2 linked regions of the Macaca mulatta genome follow. The protein of the gene in region 2 interacts with the protein of the main gene of each other region in a pairwise test. Links are inferred from orthologs where the notes say so. Each region holds a gene or a part of one and is shown on either strand. Other genes may lie near its edges.

The links.
Region 1: the proteins of SIPA1L2 (region 2) and AP3M1 interact in binary tests that used the Homo sapiens proteins (3 or more experiments, as listed by UniProt). The two-hybrid records come from large-scale screens. The link is inferred for Macaca mulatta from reciprocal best matches to the Homo sapiens genes SIPA1L2 and AP3M1.

Annotation. Positions count from the first base shown.
Region 1 is NC_133414.1:75,500,525-75,504,190, reverse strand, and holds the end of AP3M1 (AP-3 complex subunit mu-1), read right to left. Parts: intron 3,610-3,666; coding exon 3,465-3,609; intron 2,677-3,464; coding exon 2,576-2,676; 3' UTR 516-2,575; downstream 1-515. UniProt on the Homo sapiens protein: Part of the AP-3 complex, an adaptor-related complex which is not clathrin-associated. The complex is associated with the Golgi region as well as more peripheral structures.
Region 2 is NC_133406.1:16,421,745-16,426,058, forward strand, and holds the start of SIPA1L2 (signal-induced proliferation-associated 1-like protein 2), read left to right. Parts: upstream 1-1,303; 5' UTR 1,304-1,461; intron 1,462-1,734; exon of another isoform or gene 1,735-1,936; coding exon of another isoform or gene 1,937-2,187; exon of another isoform or gene 2,188-2,283; intron 2,284-2,292; coding exon of another isoform or gene 2,293-2,323; intron 2,324-2,579; exon of another isoform or gene 2,580-2,881; intron 2,882-4,314. Other genes in the region: uncharacterized protein LOC144337349, read right to left, coding at 604-915, 1,937-2,187, 2,293-2,323.

The sequences.
Region 1 (3,666 bases), on a different chromosome or scaffold from region 2:
ATCAGCATTTTCTTGATCTTGTTCTGTATTTGTTCCTGATTTTCTACTGTAGCACCACTTAAGAAATGAACCTATCACAGGAACTCCCTTTGGATAAAATAATGTGACTCCCACACACTGGAAATAATCATCTACTTCATTTGTTCTTGATATGCTTCCTTATGAATTTAGAACTAAGGGATCCAGGATTAGCTGTAACTCTGCTTGAAAAATATTTTACTACTACTAAGTATTCAGGAATCTTTGTTATCAGTAGGTGGTGGTAGTGATAGAGAAGGGAGCTTTGATCACTAATCTCTCAGACTGTGGCCAGAATGGTGATGCTTAAGCCAAGTATGAATGGCTATTAACATAACGAGGTTAGGGAAGGAGTGCTGAGAAGTGCTTTGCAGCAACACTCACAGCTTGTGTGATGATGCAGAAGAAAATCTGATCATGTTCATCCTGCTTTGACAACGAGCCTTGCCCATTGGAGATTGTTCAATCAATAGTAGACCTAAAAAAAAATCAACTTGTTGCTTTCATCTTTTTATTGATAGCATAGCCAGAGCTACCGAAATGATTTACGGGATTCTAGCAAATTAATAAATACAGTAATTTGATTGTAAAAGAAAACATTCTATTTGGACATTTTAGTAGAAATTGCTAGAAGGCAGGAGCTCCTGGCATACATTCTACTTGGATAGAAGAGAAGATAGCACAGGAGGAGAACTGGACAGTCCAGGTATAGACTGTTGAGATTAGGGATTCAGCAGAAAGCGAAGCAAATGTTCTGATTGTTCTTTTGAGGTACAAACCCTGAAGAGTCAAGACATTAAAAATAAAAAGCAACTGAACTGGGTAGCTTAACTTAGGCAAAAGGAATAAATATTTGGCAACATTTTGACTATTTGGCAGTTCTGTAAAATAACTGCCAATCTGAGATTAGTTTCTTCAGAAATAGGGAAGCTGCAAAACGTTGCCTTTCTTATGCCATGAAAGACAGGGCAGACAAAGGTAAGAAAGCTGCTCCGTGGGCTCCTTGTACCAGCACCAACCAGCAGCCCTTGACAGCACAGATGGCATGAGTGTAAGGGCTATCCTTAGCATAAGGAAAAGACGGTTATAAGCTGAGAAGACTGAAAGAAGAATGGAGCTATAAAGAGAAGAAAATAGCATAAATAAGAAGGAAACATGAAGAATATCTTAACTTTCAGTCTTTCTCCATTTCTTGATGTCTAATGAGGCAAAAAATAACTGGGCAAGGACCACCAAGATGAAGAAGTTACATAAAATGACACAATGAAGTTGAGTGCAATAATACAACTGTTGACTGACTTTCCAAAACCATGGTGATCAGTACAGTATCATCAGTGTTACTGAGGATTTTGTTTCTGCCTCATTATAACTCACTTCCATGTATTTTGTCAGTATAGTAAGTATATTTAAGCACTCCAGTGACAATTATGACAATAGTTTCTGGAAGAAATCTATGACTATAGCTTTGGGAAGCACACAATATGAAAAGGGAATTTCCCCTAAAGACAAGGAATGCAGGCAAATTCAACCCCTTAAGAACAACAACAAAAAAGGTAAAAGATTTAGAAAGACTGATGACAGTGAGGCAGGCACATTTTCCTCCTTTTGCTGAACTGGGGCATGAGACATTTAGGTTAACCATGGCTTAACTGGTGTTGGGTAAGCTTTATATTATAAAACATTAAGATGGCAAAGGTTTCACTTAAGTTTTTCTTTTACTACTTTAATTTGCTTAAAAGCACAAATGCTTGTGCTTGCAGTAACTTCCTGAAAGCAGAAGTAATGTTCCCTTTTACTACCTTAATAAAGCATTTGCCCCTGTGATACAAATGATTTTTTTACTGTGCTAACAGCTGAACCAGTGGCACAAAATTGAGATGGTATTTACTGCAGCAAGGTCCCTGTAAATCAAATAAGCTTTACATAAAAATCTTATTTATAAAAAATACAATACCAAGTACAGAGAGAATGGAGCATGGAGCAGCAGTGCTCCCTGCCAGGGCCATGTGGAAGTGGCTTTTGCTACAGTGCTTGCTTAATGGCACAAGTGAAAAGCTGAATAAGGCAAACACTTGAAGAGGCAGTTTTCTGTAAACTTCTGGGGGTGGGGGGAATTTCCTCTCTTGGGACAGATACTGGTTTGGGATGGCTAAGATCACGTGTGATATTTGGCTGCACCTGACACATCAGAGATTTAAGATAGCTTCTGCTGGATGAGACCAGTTAACTCCTTTTAGGAGAGAGGTTATCACTATAGCTTTCTGCCTTTACTGTTACAATGTGCAGCCGTCAGATGGTATTCTCCTATGGAAAAAAAATCACCTCCAACATCTTCCTAAGTGAAAAGATACAAAATAAGCTAAGTCACTAAAAGGTTTCCTTAGCTTAAAGCTCCTTAAGAATCCTACATTGATAACTAAGCAACTTTGTTAGCGGTGTGTAGCTAGACACAAATGCTTTAACTAGAATATCTATTCCCACCCACTTGGTACCTAATAGTAATACATCATAATGACACTTGGAAAACAAACTGGTCTTGAGAAATTTTGGCCTCTTCTCATGTCCTCACTTGGAACTTTCCAGCTTTCGTGACGTATTTGACTCCTTTAAATGGCTTATATTTCTCCCCATACATGTCCAAACGGTTCACTTTTAAGCCTGTGTCAAAAAGAATGAAAAAGAATAAATTATCATCATCCCAACCAATATGTTAGCAATGAGCACTATATGGTAAATCTGACATTAACCAGTGTCCCTTCCACCATTTGGAAGAAATGTCTCTTCTATCATTTACAAATTATTGCACTTTGATGGTATGGTTTTGGTTAAGATTCACACACAGGCAGGGAATGTCTGTGAAGTATAATTCTACTTTCTATAAATATGAATAACTCCCTTTTTGGTGCTTGAATGAGGGCAGAGGTGAGGAGAAGCTGTTTGAAATAAGGTGTTCTCCAAAATCATTTGGTTGATGCCTGGGAGATGGCCCCACCAAGCACAGTGTAAAAGGCAAATGGGCTACTGCTCTTTCTTTTCTTTTTTTTTTTTTTTCTGAGACGGAGTCTCGCTCTGTTGCCCAGGCTGGAGTGCAGTGGTGCAATCTTGGCTCACTGCAAGCTCCGCCTCCCGGGTACACGCCATTCTCCTGCCTCAGCCTCCCGAGTAGCTGGGACTACAGGCGCCCACCACTACGCCTGGCTAATTTTTTGTAGTTTTAGTAGAGACGGGGTTTCACCGTGTTGACCAGGATGGTCTTGATCTCCTGACCTCGTGATCCTCCCGCCTCGGCCTCCCAAAGTGCTGGGATTACAGGCGTGAGCCACCGCGCCCGGCCAAAGGGCTACTGCTCTTTCTAGAGAGGGAAACTTTTGTTACTCTTCTAAGTGCCTAATAATTGAGCTTGCAAAACTCAATTACCCTTAACTACAAGTCAACCTTATCCTTACCTGAAATAGCAAGCTGCTGGATCTTAAACTGTATATTGAGGCTCGGATTCTCTTCTGGTTTGGGGGCTCCAGACTGTAAATTTACCAGTCCTTTAAGACTTGGGAGCTTTTGTGGAGTAATTTTTCCCACATCCCATGTTAGTACCTTAAAAAGACAAAGAATGAAAAACAAATAGAACCATTTATTAAAGACAAACCCTCC
Region 2 (4,314 bases):
AAATGATGCACTGATATCTTCACACGTGCTGCAGTTCCACCGTCTCTGCGCTAAGTTTCAGGCTGTTTGCCTAAAAAGGCAAGAAACAAGAGGGCTGCTGGTAGGAAGACTAGCAAGGAAGGACACACACATTAAAATCTAATACTATTTCTGGAATATTTTATTTGGTGAAGAAGGTTCAGAATCATTCCTGAGATGTGTCTCTTGAAGATCTCTCGCGGTTGACTGTGAGGTGGATACCTTATGGGTTTTGCTCTTGCCTGTATGTATCACCTTTGTTCTGCACAGCAAAGGGGCTCACTCAGCACCTGCTGAAGGCAGGAATATTCCGATGAAGGCCAACCTCATGTGACGTGGAGTTCTGGGAAAGTCAGAAAGTCCCATGGACCTTCAGAAACGCACACAAATATTTACTCCACAGAATCAATTACAGGCGTTAAAAAAAATACTGTCAACCTTGGTAGTGGGACTTAGGATATTTCAGTTTTAGTTTGCAAAGCACAAGAAGTGGGATGGGAAGGTGAGAGGGTGAGAATTGCGGCTAGCACCGTCATCGAAGAGTGTCTGGTCAGACTTCCATGTATGATCATTATGTATTGGATATTAAGGAGTGGGTTCCTCTTCATCTATTAGACAATGGACATTTGCAGCTGTAGCAGCAAGACCCACCTCAATGACCACCCACTGATCCAGGATCTGCTCCGAGCTGCAGTCGATTTGTGCTTTAGGGATCAAAATGCTGGAGGAGATGTAGTTCTTCTCCTCAAGGCCCTTACAGACAATGAAACGTGCAATAAGGTGAAACGTGAGTATGTCCTCCCTAGGCACTCCCAGGAAAAGTTCCTTCACGGGTGCTGCTCCTGTAGGGTTTTGTTGAGTACATAGGAGATAATGTTGATATCTCTTGTAGAGTATCTACAATGAATGAGAATACACCTGTCAGATGGTGAGCTCTTGAAGAGCCGAGCCTTATGTCCTGTGCATTTTATATTCCCAGCACCTAGCATGGTCTGGAACATCAGAGGATCTCCACGAATGTTTGTTAAATGAATACATGACAATCTTGTAAATGCTGATAATGGGGTGACAGTTGGGAAACTCATCAAAACCTGGAGTGCTCAGGAATTGTATTATGTCACAGGATTGCTTTTTGACCTGTTTAGTTATACCTAATCCCACAGATTATACCTATAATTTAAAGAGATACAAAAGATTGTATAATGTGTACAGCTTCAGATCACAGAGAAATATAGTGTGGGAGGGACCGCCTGTATTTAACTTTTAACAGGGCTGTGTTCTAGGAAGTGTTTGTGATAGGGAAGTAGAGATAACATTCTCTCTTCAGGAAGAAGTCTGACTCTAGAAGGGGAGGAACTGAAAGCCCCAATCCAGTCTCTGGGAACCCAGCTCAAAACTCTGACAAAAAGGTCTGCTCAGGAAATCCTACGGTGTCGCTGGAAGGTAAGTTAGAGGCTCCCTCCACCTGCTTTATTATTTCTGCGTATAGATGACTGTTGCTGTCCATTTAGGCAGAGTCAATTCCAGTCTAGCTTAAAAGATTCTTCTGAGACCCTTTAATCTTTCTGCATCTAATTCAAATGTCAAGCAATTTACAGTAATAGTTTCAAGTAATGCTTCCTCAAAGGTGAGTCAACATTTCTAAGAAAGTAGAAACGTTGGGTATAAAAAGTTCAATTTTTCCTCGTCGGAAAAACGATCCAAGACATTTCTACCGTGGGCTGAGCGCTGCCTGGAGGGCAGGGAGGAAGGGCTGAGCGGACCGGGCTGGCATGCGGGTGCCTGGAACTGCTGGTCTCTCCGTTTTCCCTGGCTTCTAAAGGTCTCTTAGCAGCATTTCCTGCACGCTGGCACCCCCTGTCCTCCTAAGATTTTACTGCCTGCGTGTTTCTCTGTGATTCCCCACCCTCCGACCCACCGGGCCCGGGGCGCCCTCCGGGGGCCGGCACACAGCAGGGTCTTGCTTCCTCGCGCTGTCTTCTTCATATGGGATCACTTCGAGATGCGGCCGTTTGGGCGTTTGCGCGGCCTCGGCGATTCTGTGGCGTCTTGGGCTGTGTATGTAGCCCCAGCGGCCGAGGCTCACGGATCCGAACGCCCGGCCGCCACGTCTGTCCCAAGTTGGGCGACGGGAGGGCCGGGTGGGGTCGCGCCTGCGCCAGAGGAAGGCTCAGAACCAGACTCGGGGTTTTTAACTTATTCCTCAGAGGGACGAAAGCGAGTACCGGCGAGGACGGCGACAGCTCTCTATAAGCCTGAGTCCAGGTAGGCTGCCCGGCCCTCGAGCTCGCCCAGCGCCGCTCATGCTGCGCTCCACAGCCCCCTCCCCAAGAAAGGCGTTCGGGCCCCTCCCGGACGCGCCGCTCCCGCGCGCCGCGGGGCCTGGGAACAGCGCACCGGCTGAGCCTGGTGCCCGGCGGGCGGTGAGACTGACGGCGCCCGCGCCCAATCGTGGGGCGGAGCCGAGGGGGCCTGCAGGCGGCGGCCAATGGGAGCCCACAGAGCGGGCGGGGGGCGGTGCCGCCTGGCGGGCGGGCGGTGGCATCGGGAGCCGGCGCGGCAGACTGGGAGCCCGGGAGGAGCCGGCGGAGCGAGAGGAGGAGGAGGACGGAGGAAGAGCGCCGCGCCCCCGCCGGCCGCCCGAGTGCAGGCCGAGAGCTCCAGCCGCAGCCGGCGGGTCCGGGCCGCCTCCGCCGGAGCCCGGCGCGGGGAGAGTCCGGGCCGATGGGCAGCCCGGGGCAGCGGCGGGCGGCGAGGCGGCAGCCCGGGTACGCGCCACCCGGCGCGCACAGGCTGTAGCAGGTCCCGGCGGACGGTGTTGCGAAGGTTCGTGTCGGGGAATCCGACGGGCAGCGTGGCGAGGGTAGGTTCGGGATGGCTACGGCCAGGCGGTGACTGTCCCGAAGGGGAAGGGGATGCCCTTCGGGGCGCTTCGGGGGACTGACGGCGGCGAGGGGCGCGGGGGTGCGAGGGGCACGGGGCAGGGTCCGGCTTGTAGACGCAGATGCACCCGCGCTCCCGGGCCCAGGCTAGGAGAGGAGCCGTCGCCGCCTGTTCTCTCCAAGTTATCGATCGTCTGAAAGGTTATTCCCGTGTCGGCGACACAGGCACTGAGGAGGACCTCCTCCAGGTGCCCAGAACTCCGCTCTGACTAACGCTCTCTGGAAGGGCTCGCGGTTGCCCGACGCAGCTCCCCCGGCGCGCCTGGCGGGCTGACGCCGAACTTGCTGCGGGGCTAATTCCCCTTCTAGAAGGGGTGCGCCCCGAGCGCGCGCCCTCACCGGGACGGATCCCTCTTTGTAAGACCGTGAGCAGCCGGGCGAGCGCCCTTCTCACTCAGCGCGACCTTTCTTCCCACTTTGCCAGCTCCTGTGCCTCCCCGGGTCTTCCCGTGTCAGTGAGGGTAGTTTGCCCACGTCCTAGGAATATCCCCAGGAAAACCTACAGATTAATTTTCAGCCGTGCCGCAAACCCAAAGAATCAATTTCGGCTCATCATCTACAAGAGGAGCCGAGGCTTCTCGGAAAGAGAGAACAACTTGGCATTACTCCTCTGGGAGATATTTGTCATCATTAACCTGCTTCAGTTAAATTAATTTAGCCCAAGATGACTCTGGCCTGAGTATTGGAAAAAATCAAGTGCATTGGTCACGGAATTATGCTCAACAAAACACGATTTTGGTCAAAATAAAATTGTAGACATTTTTGATTTGGTTAGATTGAGACTGGGTTTTGACAAGGATGGCTTTTTTCAAAAATCAAGGAAAAAAACCCTCAAAGAATCTTGGTGGTTCTCATGGCTTTGCTCAGTGAAGTTCAAAATAGTCGCACAGATTTTTCTTTTCTTTGCCTCTTTTGTCTGCAGTCTCCATTCTAAACGTTAACACTAGATGGCTTTCTTATGACAGACGTTTAGTAAACTGCCCATTTGAGTTGCGTTTGTGTGCAGCCTAGGTTGTAATTTTTCTAGTGTTACAATTAGTAATTGAAGAAAAAAGATCTCCCAAACTGTTGCTTTTTATTACTTTCCTAGAAAACCTACACATACCAGTATCTTTGCGGATATTGAGAGGTGGCCTATTATTTTTGGCATTCCTAAAGTTGAATTTCAAGAGACAACTTGGTTACTGTATTTAGTTACATCATTTAAGAATGTCTGTTTCATGTTTGGACTTAAAGAATTCAGAGTTCTGTTTTGTCATCCCGTTTAGACAATATTTCCACTTAAAAGATGTTTACTGCTTGATTGAATTTCACTGCTTGATTCAGAGTTATAAGAGAGTATTATTCATGAGAA